Linked DNA regions of Saccharomyces cerevisiae S288C. Each later gene encodes a partner of the first gene's protein in a complex. Each region holds a gene or a part of one and is shown on either strand. Other genes may lie near its edges. The genes, in order: GDI1, SEC4 and YPT31. A codon is read from its position in the direction of its gene.

Region 1 (6,716 bases):
ATCATTAATAAAAATCTCAGACTTTCATGGGTGGTAGAAAAGCATCTTCCATGGTTTGTTACCTTCTTTCCAGTAAAAGTATTTCATTAAAATTTGGTCTCTTGGCCCAGTTGGTTAAGGCACCGTGCTAATAACGCGGGGATCAGCGGTTCGATCCCGCTAGAGACCATATTTTTTTTGAAAATCTTTTTGTCTTTTTGTTCAACTTAAAGAATGAATGAATGCCAACTCAGCTTTGCGGGCCTCCAATATGTACCACATGTTGGTAATTGTTCATACTTTTTTAAAAATATAGACAAATTTTAAGATAATTGTTGGAATTACATTGTTGTTAAAGGCCGCAATATTACGTGGAACGAATATGCTGCAATTCTCCTCGAGAAAAAATAGGAATCTACAAAAAGCGAATTGATAGCTCTACATAATAATGTTACTCTATCTTCTTCCTTTTATACTTTGTCATTCTTTATTTTATTACATTATCAACCCTTGAATTTCAGCTTCCATTAGATTTGATGACTATTTTCAATGTTTATGACATCTTCTTATATTGTATATGATAATATATTAGTAGTATGACAGCACACTAGTAGCAGCAGTACTAGTCGATGGATGATCGTTTATTCTTCTTTCAACACGTTCTAAGTATTCTCATTTTATCCTTCTTATATTCCGCTGCCGCCTGTCGCTACTCACTCTACAACCAAGGTAAGGACTACCTACAACAAGAACATGATGATAAACATTGACATGCACCTTCCAATCGTCATTTATATTCGAAAAGAACAAGAATAGGACATTAAATCAACTTACTCTTCCAACATCCCTCATTGGGACGGTTAATTAGTTCAAAAAAATGTTAAAAAATATGGTTCAGGACACACTCCATCCCCGAGGGAACGGCCACAATGTGCGAGTAAATCCTGATGGCACCGCCAAATTAAACCGCCGAAGCGATCAACTTGCACAATTATCCGACTGATATGTGCTATCCCGGCCGCCTCCATCACGGGTCACCTTTGCTGACGCTGGATAAAACTCCCCTAACAGCGGTGAAGGTGGAGCCCCTAAGGACCCAGAACTACCTTGCCGCACCAGACAGAGAGACGGATTCCTCACGCCTCCTGCCAACGGGCTGCCCGCAAAGATCGATTTATTATAGCCGGGACACTTCAGAACGGACTCTCCCGCCTCCGGGCAGACAGCTCTGCCCAGGACAAATTTACGACGGAGGAAAGACGGTTGCCACAACAGGGCACGGTGCGGAATAGAGAACTATCCCTTGCCCAAAGGGCGTGCAATCCGTGTCTAGCCGCGAGGAAGGATTTGTTCCTCGGCCAGAATTCTCAACGTATCCCATCCCACCAGAAAGCCATTACAGCCTAGCACAATTGGAATAAACTTTCGATTTTATACTCCATTTTCTTTCCTTTACACAGAAAATTTGTCAGAAGATTTTCAATGAAAAGTTCCTGGCGATGAGGTTGACACTAATACAATATAGTCATCGTAAGTTTGTTAAAAGAATACCGAGGGTTGTTATAACAAGGAATGTGTGAATCATCAAATAAGACTGAAAATGATATAGTCAGATTGTCACAAGCTATGGATGTCCTGGCTAAGTTGATCATTTCAAAGCAAAAAGATGGATCACAATTACAAGTTGAGTACGAGCATAAGTTGAAAGAATTAGAGAAATTCATTAACCTACTACTGGGATTGCATGAAAGCACTGTGGGAAGTATGATGAATACTAGTGTTCTTGACATGGTACTGCGGAATGGAATAGAGATCATGGAAAAAGACGATCAAAAATATGCCCTGATACCGATTAAAGCCAAGGAAGAGGCAGATAAAACTACGAGCACTATTCAGGGAGTAACCAGCAAAAAGAGTAGTAAAAAGAAAAAAAATAAGATAAAATGTTCATTTTGTCACGAGGCTGGCCACACAAGGGCACACTGCGGTGCGAGACTGACAGTTATACCCAAGAAATAATGAAGGGATCATCGAAGCATTAGACCTACATCTACCTTACTAAGATTGTAAGTACATAGCATGTGTACTGATGTGTTCAGTAGCATTCTTCCATATATTATACTACATAAGGTATGTAAATTTATGTATTTATATATGGAAAAAAGAAATTGAAAGAAAAGAAAAGGAAAGATACTTAGTTATGAATCAATCAGAATACGCATATAACAAAAAAAAAAAGTGGAATGAGAAAGGAATAAAGGATAATCTTTTCCCCTATATTTTTGTATTGGTTTTTTTTTGGCAAATATTTTCTTGTTTTCTGTAATTCATGTCATTTATTGGTAACTCATTTGCCAAGAACATTATCGGAAAAAATAAGTTTACCCTCCAATTGCTGCTTTAGTCGTAAAGGTATGAATTTACTGCTTTTCTTGTTCTTGTCTTTGTTTTAGAACTAATGGGTGGCCTGTTACTCTGAAGTAAATATCTTTAACATCGTCAGTCATGGATTCGAAATGAGAGGATGCGTCGTATGATCTGGATAAGTAAATGTTATCCTTAGAGCCGTCTTCTCTTGGTTCAAATAATTCGGCAATTCCCATGAATTTTTCTTCGATTGGTCCCAGAAGTTTGAAAGCAGGCTCTAATTCTATATGTGGTTTATCAGTTTCAATGATTGTAGAAATAATTGCTAAATAGTGACCCTTGGAGCAAACGTTATGCGCATCTGAAACAATCGCAACGTATATATCGCTTTTCCTTCCCAGTTGGCTTTGTGGGATAATAATTTGTAAAGAATCCGCGTTACTGGTGTTCGGAACTGGATGGTTAAGAATACAGATGGCTCTAATAACTCTTTGACCAGTAGATTTACATTTTTCGGGAAAATAAGTTGGATCAGCAATAACCAATGGGGCCTTGAAAGTTCCCAGCTTAGTCTTGACCCCTTCAAATTTTCCTGTGTCTTTTTTATACAATACTTCATCAATTGGAGTGTCTAGCATGTAAGTACCACCGTAAATAGCCGACAAACGAGCAAATCCTTGTGGAAGTTCGCCTAACCCATACATAGGATACAAATAAGGTGATTTACCGTAACGGGCAACACTTTGGCAATATAACAAAATCCTCTCAAACGATGGCCTAGCAGGTTGTTGTAAGTAGTCATCATTGGTCCATAAAGCCATTGCATGACCGATGAATTCTTTGGTAGAATTGCCTAACCCAAATTTATAATACACTTCATCCATGGTATTCTTGTCTAAGTCTAATCCTTGATGAGTGGACAAGTCATCTTCTTTGTAAGAGCTAATCCATTCTAAAAATTTCTTCATTCTACGTTTTTCAAAAATACCCATCAATGGCGATGAAATGGCTTCTATTTCATTAGCTGGCACTTTGTAAATTTTGCCTTGCTTAAAAACGTAGGAGCCAGAAACTTGCTTGAAATCGACATATCTGGTCACATCGGTATGTATTAAAATATTTGTCAGCTCACCATTGGCCATCAGGAATTTAGGAATTAAGTCGACATTCCAATCTCTATCTTTACCAAACTTGGACTCCCGTTCCTCTTTACTGATCGGATTTTGTTTAAATTTTTCATACAATTGAGATAAGGTCACAGAAGCAGCTTCGCCACCATAATGGTCTTGCTTGTCAATATGTAATACCTTTTTTCCATCTACAGAGAGTAAACCAGATAAGATACATTCGGTAATACCGGTACCTAAGACAATCACGTCGTAGTCAGTGTCTATTGTTTCTTGATCCATTGTGTTATGCTATATAAGTGGTTATTCACTAACAGTTATGATGGAAGGGGAGTAAAGAAAAGGAAAAGACTAATTGCAGTCCTGCTTTGAAAAATATCCTTCCTTGAAAAAAGACTATGTTAGAAATTTGATGGGACGACGTCTCAAGCAAGAATGAAGTAGAACCTTTTCTACTAACAAAATCGGGATAAATCAGCCGACGTGTTGAAACTACATCTACAATCCCTCGCTGAAGCTTCCCACGGCCAAGATTTTGGAGCCCACAGGAGAGGGGAAAACACCGCCAATGTGAGATAAACGATTCAAACATAAGGGTAACCTAAAGATAACGGTTTTGAGCGTTTACGGCCTACTTTACTATGCAACAGCAGATGTTGGATAATAGAGAAGTTTGAGTGATAGATTGTAGAAAGTACAAGAATATGGGTGTATTACGGGAGTTAACAGAGGTATGTACTTTATCAAATGTGGTCTGATATTTTTTTCTTGAAAACAGTCTTGGCTATGTAATTTTTTAAGTTTTGCGCCTTTAGCTCATGTTTAGTTTCTGGTGGGGGAAGCGGTAATTATTTTAAAGTAGCCAACATAAGCAAAATATATGGAGAAAAAGAAGAATACCGTCGGAACCGCTAAAAGTATGTTTTTGTTACAGGATTGTAAAGCTTGTATCGCTTGGCAAGAGTTTGATTGGCCATTCTTGTAACTATTAGTTATTAAGCGGATTTGTCTCTTTTCAACTAGTTTCGAAGATGTCTCAAGAGATTGGAAGTAAACATTGCTTAGTATGAAAGGAATGCCCTTTGTAAATTAACGTAAATTATAACGTTTTCGAAAAAAAAAATTGATTTCGCCCAGGATCGAACTGGGGACGTTCTGCGTGTTAAGCAGATGCCATAACCGACTAGACCACGAAACCTAATTTGTTGAAAAAGTTTCATTAAAAAATAGAATATATCTACAATTCTTAAGATTTACACATGAAATTGTGGAGATGAAGCTCTAAAATATCATTGCTCAGTTATATCGTGTAATTAGTGTATTATCACGTACGGTGTAAAGAGGATGACATGAAAATCGAGAAATAGTCATCAAACCTCTTATCCCGAAAATGACAATACGTCAGGAACATATACACCACTTAATGAAGGGTAATTGATTATATCCCAATAAAGTGAATCTTAGTTTATTCGAAGTTAGTTGTCGATTGTCGTTTGAATATCCCCTTTGAGTTTAACGACCACAAATGCAAGGTTGATTAAAATCTTTCAAGCATGACATGGACTTTAAGAAACTTACATAATTCACAGAAAAAGGTCTTGGTCGATATTACAATTTGGTTAGCACTTTCTCCATACGGTGACATGGCGTTATTTACAAGTTTTGAGAATATAATCGGCGAATATTATAGGTACTCTATACTACCGTTACATCAAAACTTACACAAGTTACTATTCACTCTTTTTCTAATATGCCTCGCTAGTTGGAAAGAGGGAAACAGATCTTGCAGATATAAATGGCAGAAATTTGTGTGCAACAAGCTAAATTCTCCTGAAACAAATTTCGTACCCATTCGCACCTCAGTGAATAAGAACTCTAAAATGATTGTTGAAAAGCAGATAAGCATTCATATTTCTTTAAAGTGTATTGTTTACAAAGAATACTAAGGGATTGAGTAGAATATTTTTCACGCACTAGAAGAAGGACCTGCCGAAAAGGAGACCTTCTCGAGAAACAAGCATTTTTGTCCTTAAACTTACAAAGAGAACAATTTTGTTACAAATCCTGCTCCAAAATAGTCTCAACGCGTTTATTATGACTGGATACCCTGACGTGGCCGCCTTCGATTTGGACTACACCATTTGGCCCTGCTATTGTGATACCCATTTGCACGGTCCCTTTAAGCCAGTTAAAAGTAGTAATGGCGAAGTTCTCACAATTATATGTAGAGATGGTTACGAGCTCACAATCTACAAAGATATCCCACGTATACTAGGTGATCTTAAAGATAATGGAGTTAAGTTAATGACCGCGTCACGAACGTGGGCACCTGAGATTGCCCAGGAAATACTGAAAATATTCAAGGTCAAGTATGCTGGTGTCGTAACCCCGTTGGCCAACCTGTTCGATGAATTTCAGTGGGGAGAAAGAAGTAAAATTGGCCATTTAAGGGACGGTTTGAAAGATCTTTATAATACCAGCGATTTAAAATCGAAAAAGATTTGTTTATTTGATGATGAAAGTAGAAACAAAGAAGTGGAGAAATACGGAGTGAAGTTTGTTTATGTAAGAGACCCAGAGAATGGACCATCTTGGAAACTTTATCAAGATTACCTGAGTGGAAAGGTTTGAAGGACTGCGCACTTAGTTCACAGAGCATCATCTGAGCATAAGAAGAAGTCATTACATTTATGGGAAGATGATACATCACTGTTAAAAATTATATATTTGTGATTTATCAAAATAGAAGCTCACTTTTAATTTAAAAACTTTAACCAATCCGCCTCAGCCTTTGTACTAATTTGTTCTTCCAAAAAGAGTTTTCATAACTTAACCATATATCTATGTATAAAAACCTGGTTCATTCACCACTTTTCACTACTAAGTTCAGACAAATATTTTCAAATTTCAGTGCAAGAAGCTCTTAACCATCTGCTTTTCTCCAATGATCTTCATACACGTTGTAATGCTACTGATAGCGTTTGAATTTTAAGTGTACGAAACATTATGTGACGAACATGAACCTTAACCCATTATTTTTAACAGAGTAGTTTAACTACGTTAACCAAAAAAAAAGAATAACTTTTTTTCGCAGGCAAATATGCATTTCTTATTCCAACACTATTGATTCCTGCCATAGATTGATGATTTTCCTAAAACTAGAATGTAGAACAAAAATACTCAAATGATATTCAAGATCAAAAAAGAATCTCCTGCGTTCAGCGGTCTTTCGAGCGAATAGTA
Region 2 (5,869 bases), on another chromosome or scaffold:
CACACCTTGCACAAAGATAGAAAACTTTGGAATTTCTTTGACCAAATGAGAATTTGTCAAATCGTTCAGCCATTGACCATGCTTTTTAGGCAGTTTTACATTAGAAATCATAGAACTGGCAGACATCGAAGAATCTAATGAACTTTTCACTTTAATTTCCATTACTGAATAAGGAAACTTAGCATACTCGCCTCCTCTCAGGAATTTCAAGGGATTTGCAACATTGGCATCAATATCAGTTCTATGCCAGGTATTAGGGTCTCTAATTGGACGCTCTCTGTCGAATGAATCCTCCTTGATGAATACAATATTAGAGTCAATGGTTACTCTTATCTTGTCATCGCCGGGAATCTGGAAAGCAGTTCTGGTGTAAACAGTTCTAAAAACTGGTTGCAATTCATTCTTGATAATAAAGTTTTGAATCTCAGAGAAATCTTCTTCTAACCTTTCCAGGTCTCTCCCTGCCGTACCACTTTCTTTTAACTTTTTCAAAGTTTGTTCTTTAAATTTCTTATCACCTTCGAAAATAAACCCGTTAATGAATTTTTGTTTCAATTGCAATTTAGTTAGATCAAATTCAGACTTCCCAGTGGCTTCGTCTTCAATAAGAGTTTTCTTTTCCAAGAAAATATCCGGCTTATCAGATAACTGGCCAGTCCACCTTAATCTTAAAGTAGGTGCTGAATTTAACTTTAATAACTTGTCGTTATATAATTCAAAATGCTCATTGTCAAAATATAGCGTGTTGATTAATGGATCGAAGGAGCGCGCTCCCAAGCCATGTTCTACGCTACTAGTGGAGCTCGAACTACCCACAATTTCATCATTATTTGATATATCTGATTCGAATCTATTGACCAGGTCATCGTTTTCGGAGGGAACATTGGCGTAGACCAACACGGGAAGATGTCTCAAGATTCTTGTTTTGACCTCCATTAAGTTGTCATTATGAACCCAAAATTTAAAGCTTCTGAAATTCATGTCTATGTCATTGCTGACAATGCTAGAAAACTTAGAAGCGCTGGCTAAGGGTTCAGATGCAGTGTTAAAATTACTTCTCAAAATGTTGTACAAAAATGAAATACGATACAACAATGGGGAATATTCTTCCGAATGGGAAGGCAATTCCTTTAATCTAACTTCCAACAAAGATTTAACAGATGGATACTTTGGATATAGCTTGTCATGTTTCTTAACAATCTTAGCAAACCCAGTAAAGTTCAATCTCTTAAAATTGTCTAATTCGGTAGACTCGCTTAACAGTTCCTCCAATACACGTTGGAATGCATCAGCGTCCAAGGCCTTTATGGCTGCTTCCGTATCTGTTTGTTTCTCCAGATGGGACAATCTCTCCATCAAGTTATTGTACTTTTTTAGTTGAAAACCATAGACTTTTTCAAGTTCCTTATCCAACTCTTCCACAAACTTGGATTCATCTGAATCGTCCCAGCGTGCTTTCTTATCGTTACTTCCATCCTTCACGCTATCTTCCTTCAGGAATTTTTTCAAGCCCTCATAATTAATATAAGAACCCTTCCAAGGAGGATAAACCTCATTAGCCAACTTCACTCCAAACAGCATGTCAAAAAAGTGTCGTTATGTTGAGGTGTAGTCGTTCTTTCTACTTTTTTTTCTAAACTCTTTTCGTCTATTTTATCTGTTTATACCTATGCCTCTTTCCCAGTAATTCGCTTCCGATAGAAAAGATAAGACGAAGAGAGCCTGCCTTTTTTGAGGTCATAATAGGATGGAAAAAAGTTGGCAAGAAGAAAGAAATGACTCTTAATGGGTAAGATACCAATTGCTTAAACACTCCATAAAGCGAATTTCGCAGTCAGTATCTTTCTGGAAGTGCTATACCGCAGTGCGGATTCATTTCCAAGCAGCACGTGGGTTTTTTTTTCGAATTGAGTGATTATGCAACCATACAGGAACCTTACATAAGCGCAAGTAGTTGAATAGTGGATTCAAGAAGCAAAACTTTACTACCGGTAAAAACATTAGAACGAAATAAAAGTGCTGAATCTTAAAAGTAAAATATATACTTGGATAAGAATTCCCAGGGAAACTGGGAACCTCGTTTTCCTGTTGCACTATTTTTTAGATTCTTTCTTGATTTTTTACCAATCGCCTGATGAAAATACCTTCCAGAGCAGAGAACAACAGTAGAAGTATGCTGAAAAAGTTAGTGTGAGAAGTTTGAATTGTTTAGATAATATAAAAGTGACATCTAATATGACTAATATAAAAATAGTAAGTATGGTAATCAAAAAAAGATACAAACAATGTATATATATAAAGGAAAAATAACCTGCGAATATTGAGAAAAAGGGAAAAAAGAATCAAGCGATTTATAGCTCTAATTCCAGTTCACGATTAATTCTCAAAGAAGCAAAAATCTTCTTTTCTTCAACAGCAATTTGATTTAGAACTGTTTCCGCTCCCACTATTGATGCTAATATTGCCCTCTTTACCGTTACCGACGCCAACAAGCTTGTTACTGTCGATTTTTTCTTGGATTAACTTCGCCAAGGTGAAAAAAATCTCGTTGACATTGTCATCGTTCTTAGCACTGGACTCGATGAATGGTATACCCAGCTCCTTAGCCAAGGCTTCACCTTGATCAGCTGTTACCACTCTCGTCTCCATATCGCTCTTGTTACCAACCAACAGTAGCTGTGCTTCATCGTTCGCATGCTCATTAACGGTTTTAAACCATTGCTTGATATTAGTAAATGTTCTCTCGTCTGTCACATCATATACAAGAATGATACCCATAGCACCACGATAATACGCTGTGGTGATTGTCCGGAAACGTTCTTGACCAGCGGTATCCCAAAGTTGCAGCTTTACCTTCTTACCGTTGATATCGACAGTCTTTATTTTGAAATCAATACCAATGGTGGTGATAAATGACGGGTTAAATTTGTCTTCAACAAAACGAACCAATAAACATGATTTCCCAACACCAGAATCACCAATCAATAAAATTTTCATAATAGAGTCATAGCTCTTTCCATTACCGGATGAAGCAGAAACAGTTCTCAAGCCTGACATGTTTATCTTGTTATGTTTATATTCTTTCTGGTGAACGATACGCCCTCGTGTATATACAGTATGTCTACTTTTTCTCCTTTTCTTATTCTTCCAAAAAAAAAAGTTCCTAGTTTATTTTCTTGGAATTGCAATAGGTTGGAATAATGGATCACTAAAAGACAAGCTATAGTGGGTAATTCAAGTTTCCAGCTTCCCTAGAGGTAGAATGCTTTGTTTGGTATAACGTTTCCCTGCCGTTGATCATTCTCAGTGGTGAACTTCCAGTTTTCCTCAAAATTGATTTATTACCCGGCACGCAGCCGTGATCATAGTTACACTAACAACTTACTTTTAGAGTAAAACTAATCAGCAGATAGCTCCAGCTATTTGTTTAGATGTACATATATGTCTAGATATGTGCTTAATATCCTATACTAATATGAATCAGGCATAGTAACTTCTCCATAGGACACCCTCCAGGTCTTCCAGTTCCTCCGTATTGAAAGATGCTCTATCGAACTTCCAAGTGTCGGCCCTCACCTTCTTGAACTCACTAATAGTATTTTTGGCAGCTTGTCCAGTCATACCACTAGTCCTGGCCCACGAGGATAAGTTGCTTAGTTGCTTGGGTATCCATGGCGGTAGGGGAAAAACATAGGGGAACGCTGATATAATAGCTCCCAAACCCAAAACGTTACCATGAATCTTGATATCCGTTTTGGATAACTTTTGTCTTTCTTTCGACGTGTATTTGTTGACGTCGAGACCCTTTGCAAATCTCTCGATTAAACTCAACAACGGCTGTTCCTCTTTCCAGTTATGGACGATATCAGACAAAATGGATGCCGCACGAACTCTCACCTCTACAAACTGTTCGTTATACAAATTGCTGACAACAAATTCCAAAATTTTGTTCTTTTCTTCCTCAGTAAGTTGAAGCAGTTCCGCTGATAAAAAGTGTTGGATGAAAGCTAGCTGTAGTTTCGTTTGGTTTGAAGATAGTGCTACATTTGACGAACAAACATAGTCAACAATGGCGGCAACATGGTTCTTTCTGATCGGCATATAGCCCAAGCCGGCATACAATCGAACAGGATCTAAACTGGCAAGAGCACAAACATCTTTATGTTTCACTAATCCGATCAGAAATGGTAAAACATAATCGACTAAATATGGAACTAACAAAACTTTATTAGGCCCTCTCGCCATTTCTTTGATCCAATAAAATATTGTGGATGTCCTGTAAAAATAGTCTGTCTTAATAAATTGTTGAGGATTCAGGCCGACAACGGAATCTTCCAGATTTTTAATGATCTCAAACTGCTTCTTAATATAGGCATCCACCTTTTCTGGGACGCTTTTTAATGGTAACCCTAATCCATCTGGATCATTCCGTTCTGCTTCTAATAATGTGGTTGGATCTGAAATTGACGGATTACTTTGATTTTGAACTAAGGTCGTCAATAGTTTAGCGACAGCCTGGCGAACCTGATCGTATGGGTGATCAAATACCAACTCATCAAATAGCTTACCAACATCTGGGGCTCTAAATTCCATGCTCATCAAGATACTTCTTAGCATGTAAATTTTGGAGGTTTGATGTGTGGCTGCATCAGATTCACGGTCAAACATGCCATCGGCGTTGATAAAATGGCAAAAAAAAGTTTTAGACCTTCTTAAATCAACGACTGCAGGCAACCACCATGCCAAGGTGCTCCAAATTTCAAATGCGTCATGGTTCAACTCATAATCTAAACATTTGGCTAGGAAGTTTTCGATAAAAGTGTCACGTTTGTCCAAGTCAGAGACTGACATAAACTTACTCCCGCAAACTAAGCCAGCCACTATCTCGACAGACATGATCATCGAAGCCTTATCGTCTTTGTTATAGTAGGATTCACATAGCTCAAAGAGATCCGACATATTCAGTTCGCAGAAACCAGATGATATCAAAAGGATTACTAAAGAGAAAAATGACACGTTACCACTACTAAAAACACCCCTAGTTTCATTATCTTGGACTAAATTCATTGTAACATCTCTCAGGAATTCTCTTGTCAATAGATGACCAGCTGTCTTGAGGACTTCCAGTTCATTCTCACGTAAATTGAGCTTTAAAGCTTTCGGCGACATGACGTACATAAGCCTTCCCCAACATAGCCACCCTACATACGCCCTCAAATCGATAAAATACTTGGGGTTATCAAAGTTATTCATTTCTTCAGTAAACGTTTTAGGGAAGCTTGTGGTCGAAGTGTCCAGTATTTCCACAAATGATGGATTGAATTCATTCTTATAGGCCCTGGTGATGTCATATTCATAGTCAGAGAGAGATATTATCTTGTTGCACGTCGACAACAATGACTTTACAACCAAATGTATGATTTCGGGATGTTTTGTGGAGATTTGGGAGATTATTGAAAATACTGCTCTTTTATCGGGTTTGCTTTCGAGGTTCGATTGGATTTGTGTAACAAAACGTAAAATGAACATTCTTATCTTCCACCCCATATCTTTTTCATTATCTAATTTGTCTAAAAGTTTGTCCTGCAAATCCACTAACAGAGAGAGGTAGTACTCACGCTTTTTCTTTTTGGCAAGCTTTACCGCTTCAACTTGCAAATTAATAGTACCATCAGGAGGTGCTAAAGGTAAGAAAGCTTGATCGGAAATGACACATACACTAGAAGGAATCTTGATCCCAATCACTATGTCAGTTAAGATTTTATCTGCATACATACCAATCTCTAATTCATTCACACGACAACATTCAATAAGCAGAAATATCAATCTGCCGATGTCTTTATAATCCGTCATAAGCTTCCTATGGATT
Region 3 (5,879 bases), 220 kb from region 1:
TTGTCTGATGAGGACGATAACGACGACAAAGAGATGTCAGAAGCTGAGTCTTATATGTTTTCCGATGAAGCTCCTAGTATAGAAAGTGGACCAGCAAATGCAAAATCAACACGGGGGATCTATAGTCAATCTAACAAAAATATCATACGTGATGGAAAGCCGAACTATAGTTTCTCTCTCAAAAGGAATAATTCGGATGATGAAACGGAGCACACTTCTGCAATAAAGGCTTCCCTTACAGGTACTACTGGCTCTACCAAGCCTACAGTAAAGTCGTTTTCAGATATATTTAATGTTGATGATAGTGCAAGTGACGCTGAAAGTGATTCTGGGACAGGAGGGAACAATTCTAACGGCTTAGTATCCAATGATTCAGAAAGGCAGGTCTCCCTGCAAAGTTCTTTGTATGAAACCAAATCAGAATCCCATCCTCCCAATCATCCTCATTCGCAGATTCTTCAAACACCGGCTAAGATTGTAATAACTCCAAGCGTTTCTGATGCGCAATCACAAGCCCTTGCAATCACCGATGATGATGGTGAAGATGATGATGATGACACTAGTAGCATACTAAGAACTCCGTTTCAACTTATTGATTCCTCTCATTCACAGCAGCCGCACTATGCGAGCCCACAGTATACGGCTGTACTCAATAGCCCCCCTCTTCCGCCGCCAGCTAGGTCTCAATCACTAAAATATCATGACTTAAATTGCGATTTAGATTCAGAAGTCCCCAGACCAATGAGTAATCTCTTTTTCATTGATGAAGCTGAGGAAGACGAATACAATCAGAAAAGTAAGTTTTTTGATTTCGACCACTACGACATCGATGAAATTAATGGCATTCCAGAGGATTTTAACTTCTCTGATTCTGAAAGAGATGATCTTAATCGTCGTACACTGAAATCTCCTTTACGGGGCGGCTCCAAGAATAGAGAAGTCTCTCCTTTTTCATCTGTGTCATCGTCTTTCAGAAGTACGCATAGTTTTAATGGGAAATTAACGATCAACCAAGGGGCTAAAGAATTAGCTCCGATGAAAAATAAGATTGAACTTACAAACAAGACTGTCACCTTCTTTAACAGTAATAATTGGAATACTTATGACTGCAATTCACTCTCCCGAAAAACTTCATCCCAAATGAGAGATAGTAAATATCAAAATCATAATGTTGGTCAAAACGTAGAACCTTCAAGTGTTCTTTCGCCACAACATCAAATATCGAATGGTTTAGATGGAAAATGCAATGATAACTACGTAATCTCACCAAATTTACCGACAACTATCACACCAACTAATTCATTTACTAAACCCACACCGGAGTTCTCAAATGACTACTCATTAAGCCCTATTCAGGAGACACCATCTTCTGTTCAAAGCTCGCCAAAGAGAGCGTGAGAAAATACTGCATGTTTTTTATGCCCGTAGCCTCCACATTTCTTCCCTAGTAGGTGACTAGCTTTAAAACCTTTGCGTAATGTTCGTATTTGTAATCAATTGCATGTGCCAAGGATGATCTTTGGTAGATATAAAAGTACATATTATTAATTTGTTTTACAGAATTGGCATGTCTGAATATAGTTTTTTTAAGAAAGTACAAAAACTAGAAGTTTTTCTTACATGTAAGAGATATGAAATTTTGTAATGTCCGATGAAAAAATAAAATAGGCAATAAGCAAATTGCCATTCCGATAAATCTTCATGCGATGAGCTGGTCAAATCTGTTTACCAGAACAATTTGTAGGGTTGTTTTTTTTTTTTTTATTTTAGTTTGCGATGAGATGGAATGTCGTTATGAATACTGGACTGATACTTGTTCGGGATCAAAGAATTCCCTTTTTCATCATACAGTGGAAAAGGCAACGGCGGAAGTACTCTTGATTTTTTTGGCTTTGTTTGTTGTCCTTTTTCTGAGAATTTATGCTTCTCATTTACCAGTTGATAAATAATTCTTTTTGCATCATCTGCAGTTTTATCACACATGCCCAAAATTTCGTTGCAATGGCTTAGACGTTTCTTCTGTTGCTCATTTTTAGCTTTTTGAGCATGGCAGACTCTTGTTCGTGATATATCGTTATTTTTGAGGCCTACATCTTCATCCTCATCTAAAAGAATAACCTCAACCATTTTACCATCTCTTTTTTCGTAAATGGTATTAAAATCCAAATCGTGTCTATTTGAAGGAGTATTCTTATTCCTGGGGAACGAATAGTTGTTCTTCTGGGATGGAGGACCATGACCTAAATTTTTAATTGATCGTTTTTCTTCTATAAAGTTATGTTCTAAAGTTGACCTGTTAATGGTCACAGAAGGTTGAGATGTTGTATCCGTAATGGCAGTATTGGAAGAAAACTCAGAATTGTAGGAAGATTTACTACTACCCGATTGTGACGATTGGCTATTGGAAGATAAAACACTAAATGGAATTGAATGCGGATTCACACAGTTTCTTTGTTTACCAATTAAGTCTGTAGGAGTTTGGTTCAAAGGAGTTGGTTCCTTGTTTTGAATTTCTTGACCAAATGAATTGAATGAAGATAGCGGTTTGAATGGCTCTATCGATGGAACACTTTTTGTTTCACTAATTATTGCAATAGAATGGTCAGCAACTTCAGTAGAAAAAGCTTCGTTTTCATCCTCTGGGCATTCAATAAGTGATGGTGATGGTTCTCTTGTATGAGAGATACTTTCATCTGGTATAATTTGAATCGAAGGTACCGAGATTTCTTGGAGGAAGGACCCATTTTTAGGTGATTGAGCTTCAGGAGGAATATCAGATGTTTTTGGAGATGACGTGAACCGTAAGGGTGATCTCTTAGGTATTTCAATGGAAGTACATGGGTTAGAATGTTCAACAGGAATTGAGGGAGCAGAGGTCGGAGCTGGTGGTGTGGAGGTTGCCTCGAAATTTAAGGAAATGTCATCAATATTATGAACGCTCCTGCTTCTCCTATGTTTATGTATCCTCGGATTATTATTCGTCGGAGATTTTTGCAAGTCTATTAACATCTGTCTTCTGGATTCAAATGATTGATTCACAGGCGAAGTATCAACTTTCAGGAAATCTTCATTGTTCGTGTCTCCAGAGTTTCTATTTTCATGTACCTTATCCACATTATTGTTAGTAGTACTGGAGGGAAATTTGAATGACATATCGAGTTTGTCCAGTGATTCAGGGTTAACTTGGCGAGTTGGAGAAGTTGGCTCCTCGCTAGGTTCAAACTGCTGGAAAAATTTTAATGTCCCATTTAAACCTGTGCTTGGTGGGGATTTCATGTGCTCTAAGTCGGGGATGTCTATCAGTTTATTTGGTGTTGACAGAATTTTTAACGAAACATTTTTTTCAGTGTTTTTTTCCTCACATTCCCTATCTGTTTTACTCTTAATATGTTGTGGGTTTTTGAGATTTCTCCTTTGTATCTTCAGATTGACGTTGGCGTTCTCATCAATTCCAAGAAGCTTATCAGCATCTGCATTATTTAACTCGAAAGACACATCATGGTGGGCATATGGAATAGAATCATCTTCATCTGAATACGACGATGAGGGCTGTTCTAGAGAAGATTCAGTTGACGATGAGGTGTTACCTTCTTGAAACTGGCTATAGCCATCCCCATCGTAAACCAAGCTACTCCTCTTTTTATCCTTGTTTTGCGGAGATAAGTAGGGCGGCAGAGATATTTCTAATGGAACTGGTAAATGATATCTGTTCAATGGCGATTCAGGAGTGAGATATAAATTCTTTTCGGGAGTTAAGGGAGGAGGCCTGTCAAATGATAAATTCAGCGGAGATACTTGGCTAATATTACTAGTATTCTCATTAATACTGGTCTCAACCTCGGTTGCACGATATGTGTTCATTGTATCCACAATGATCGACTGTAATGATTTTGATCTAGAATGGTTTGGTTCTTTTCCACTACTACTTGTGTTGGACCTAACATCAGAACGAGTTTTACGGTGCCTGCTTTCACATTTTTTTCTCCTGTTATGATGAAACTTCCAAACTTCTTTAGGGACATCGACCAGTATTTTAGAGTGCATGTCGACTAAATGACCATGGCTATTCATAAGTAATGATGAAGTAGACATTCTTCTTTCGGTTTCATTTCCACTCTTGGGGAATACAATTTTCAGTGGGGAGTCCTGTGATATTTCATTTGGATCTGGAATGGAAAATCGAACCTGCGATTGTGTATGCTCATGGGGTTTCTTGTTCTTGCTCGATCTCTGTCGCGGTATAGCAACACTCTCTATATTATTAGTTCTATTAATGGCTAGTAAGTTTTCGCGTGGGCACAACACATCACGGCATTGATCATGGTCCATCTCATGTTGTATCGATAATGTACTGCACACTTTGCTCTTGACAGGTGTAACAGGGAGGCTCATAATCGGAAAAAAAGCTTCAGATCTATCCCAGCGCAATCTAATTGCACTAATTAGGTAGTAGTCTTGCTGTAAGTATGTTGTATTGTTGTTCCTAGGCGTCAATTCTACTGTTGTTATGTTTGGGCTCGTTTGTTGTTTGTTTACCATTTTCCAATGCGGAATATCACAGGCCGCTGCGGTGTGCGGGTGCTAAATTAGAGAAAGAGGGAAACTCAAAACTTTTCAAGAAAGAAACGAATAACAATTTGACCTTTATTACAAGGCACTTTGTTTAGGCCAGCAAAGGGATTCTGACGGCGTCTGGGGATTTCAACAATGAGCAGCGAGGACTACGGGTATGATTACGACCTACTATTTAAAATTGTACTGATCGGTGATTCCGGGGTAGGGAAATCCAATCTATTGTCAAGATTTACGAAGAACGAATTCAATATGGATTCAAAGTCTACAATTGGGGTTGAGTTTGCCACCAGAACTTTGGAAATTGATGGCAAGAGGATCAAGGCGCAGATTTGGGATACTGCGGGCCAGGAACGTTACAGAGCCATTACTTCTGCTTATTATAGAGGAGCTGTAGGTGCCTTGATCGTTTACGATATCAGTAAATCAAGCTCATATGAAAATTGTAATCATTGGTTATCAGAATTAAGAGAAAATGCAGATGACAACGTCGCAGTGGGGCTTATCGGTAACAAGTCTGATTTGGCCCATTTACGTGCTGTACCTACGGAGGAGTCCAAGACTTTTGCACAGGAAAATCAGTTATTATTCACAGAAACAAGTGCTTTGAACAGTGAAAACGTGGATAAGGCTTTTGAAGAGTTAATCAATACCATCTATCAAAAGGTCAGCAAGCATCAAATGGACCTTGGTGACTCCAGTGCCAACGGGAATGCCAATGGTGCGTCCGCTCCTAATGGACCAACGATTAGTCTGACACCAACACCAAACGAAAACAAAAAGGCAAATGGAAATAACTGTTGTTAAGAGATATTTTGCAGCAGTTGCGCACTTGCATGTGAATGACTCTTCTCCCCTTTAATTCTGTGCTATATTTTTACAATTTTCTGCTGACATATAGTTTATATACATATAGAACGCATATAGGAAATTGAAGTAAACAGAATACACAAGTAGAGGCCGGTATGTACGACATTTTGCTTACTACTCTTTAAAATCATCGTCTTCTTCGTCTTCATCGTCTTCTTCTTTTTCACCATATCCTACATCATCTTTAGAGCCTGTGCTAGGTTCCTTCTTGTCTAATTCTTCTGCAGTCTTTTTATAGTCAATTACTTTGCCGCGTGTTCTTCTTCCGGATGTGATGATATTAGAGGTATCAATTTCTGCCAAATCGTCCTCTTCTTCTTCTCCCTCATTTCCCATCAATGCGTCTAACTTGGCATCGTCCATATCAGATTCAGAATCTTCAACAGTACCATTATTTTCGCTCTTCGTCAAACCATTTTTAGCCTTAGTCTCCTCTT

The links.
Region 2: the proteins of GDI1 (region 1) and SEC4 are in contact, whole or in part, in a crystal structure (PDB 3CPH), measured with the Saccharomyces cerevisiae proteins. Residues at the interface, in NP_011062.1 of Saccharomyces cerevisiae: Thr5 (codon at 3,743), Ile6 (codon at 3,740), Tyr44 (codon at 3,626), Arg78 (codon at 3,524), Arg106 (codon at 3,440), Tyr107 (codon at 3,437), Tyr237 (codon at 3,047), Glu241 (codon at 3,035), Gln244 (codon at 3,026), Ala247 (codon at 3,017), Arg248 (codon at 3,014), Ala251 (codon at 3,005), Ile252 (codon at 3,002), Tyr253 (codon at 2,999), Gly254 (codon at 2,996), Thr256 (codon at 2,990), Tyr257 (codon at 2,987), Met258 (codon at 2,984), Leu259 (codon at 2,981), Leu282 (codon at 2,912), Arg445 (codon at 2,423); in NP_116650.1 of Saccharomyces cerevisiae: Ile53 (codon at 2,901), Gly54 (codon at 2,898), Ile55 (codon at 2,895), Asp56 (codon at 2,892), Phe57 (codon at 2,889), Trp74 (codon at 2,838), Asp75 (codon at 2,835), Thr76 (codon at 2,832), Ala77 (codon at 2,829), Gln79 (codon at 2,823), Arg81 (codon at 2,817), Phe82 (codon at 2,814), Thr84 (codon at 2,808), Thr86 (codon at 2,802), Thr87 (codon at 2,799), Ala88 (codon at 2,796), Tyr89 (codon at 2,793), Arg91 (codon at 2,787), Asn123 (codon at 2,691).
Region 3: the proteins of GDI1 (region 1) and YPT31 are in contact, whole or in part, in a crystal structure (PDB 3CPJ), measured with the Saccharomyces cerevisiae proteins. Residues at the interface, in NP_011062.1 of Saccharomyces cerevisiae: Ile6 (codon at 3,740), Tyr44 (codon at 3,626), Arg78 (codon at 3,524), Asn81 (codon at 3,515), Thr96 (codon at 3,470), Leu99 (codon at 3,461), Ile100 (codon at 3,458), Thr105 (codon at 3,443), Arg106 (codon at 3,440), Tyr107 (codon at 3,437), Asp109 (codon at 3,431), Phe110 (codon at 3,428), Lys111 (codon at 3,425), Gln112 (codon at 3,422), Arg226 (codon at 3,080), Tyr227 (codon at 3,077), Leu233 (codon at 3,059), Met236 (codon at 3,050), Tyr237 (codon at 3,047), Glu241 (codon at 3,035), Gln244 (codon at 3,026), Ala247 (codon at 3,017), Arg248 (codon at 3,014), Ala251 (codon at 3,005), Ile252 (codon at 3,002), Gly255 (codon at 2,993), Thr256 (codon at 2,990), Tyr257 (codon at 2,987), Met258 (codon at 2,984), Leu259 (codon at 2,981); in NP_010948.1 of Saccharomyces cerevisiae: Glu49 (codon at 4,852), Trp67 (codon at 4,906), Asp68 (codon at 4,909), Thr69 (codon at 4,912), Ala70 (codon at 4,915), Gln72 (codon at 4,921), Arg74 (codon at 4,927), Tyr75 (codon at 4,930), Arg76 (codon at 4,933), Ala77 (codon at 4,936), Ile78 (codon at 4,939), Thr79 (codon at 4,942), Ser80 (codon at 4,945), Ala81 (codon at 4,948), Tyr82 (codon at 4,951), Arg84 (codon at 4,957), Glu113 (codon at 5,044), Pro203 (codon at 5,314), Thr204 (codon at 5,317), Ile205 (codon at 5,320), Ser206 (codon at 5,323), Leu207 (codon at 5,326).

What each region holds. Positions count from the first base shown.
Region 1 is NC_001137.3:436,655-443,370, reverse strand, and holds GDI1 (Gdi1p), read right to left. Parts: upstream 3,756-6,716; coding exon 2,400-3,755; downstream 1-2,399. Other genes in the region: YER137C (uncharacterized protein), read left to right, coding at 1,552-1,998; YER135C (uncharacterized protein), read left to right, coding at 5,027-5,419; YER134C (Mg-dependent acid phosphatase), read left to right, coding at 5,568-6,104. UniProt on the Saccharomyces cerevisiae protein: Regulates the GDP/GTP exchange reaction of SEC4 by inhibiting the dissociation of GDP from it, and the subsequent binding of GTP to SEC4. Plays an essential role in the yeast secretory pathway.
Region 2 is NC_001138.5:127,522-133,390, reverse strand, and holds SEC4 (Rab family GTPase SEC4), read right to left. Parts: upstream 3,058-5,869; coding exon 2,410-3,057; downstream 1-2,409. Other genes in the region: VTC2 (vacuolar transporter chaperone), read right to left, coding at 1-1,581; proteasome activator BLM10, read right to left, coding at 3,481-5,869. UniProt on the Saccharomyces cerevisiae protein: Involved in exocytosis. Maybe by regulating the binding and fusion of secretory vesicles with the cell surface. The GTP-bound form of SEC4 may interact with an effector, thereby stimulating its activity and leading to exocytotic fusion.
Region 3 is NC_001137.3:213,576-219,454, reverse strand, and holds YPT31 (Rab family GTPase YPT31), read left to right. Parts: upstream 1-4,707; coding exon 4,708-5,379; downstream 5,380-5,879. Other genes in the region: ZRG8 (Zrg8p), read left to right, coding at 1-1,398; FIR1 (Fir1p), read right to left, coding at 1,762-4,392; CHZ1 (Chz1p), read right to left, coding at 5,557-5,879.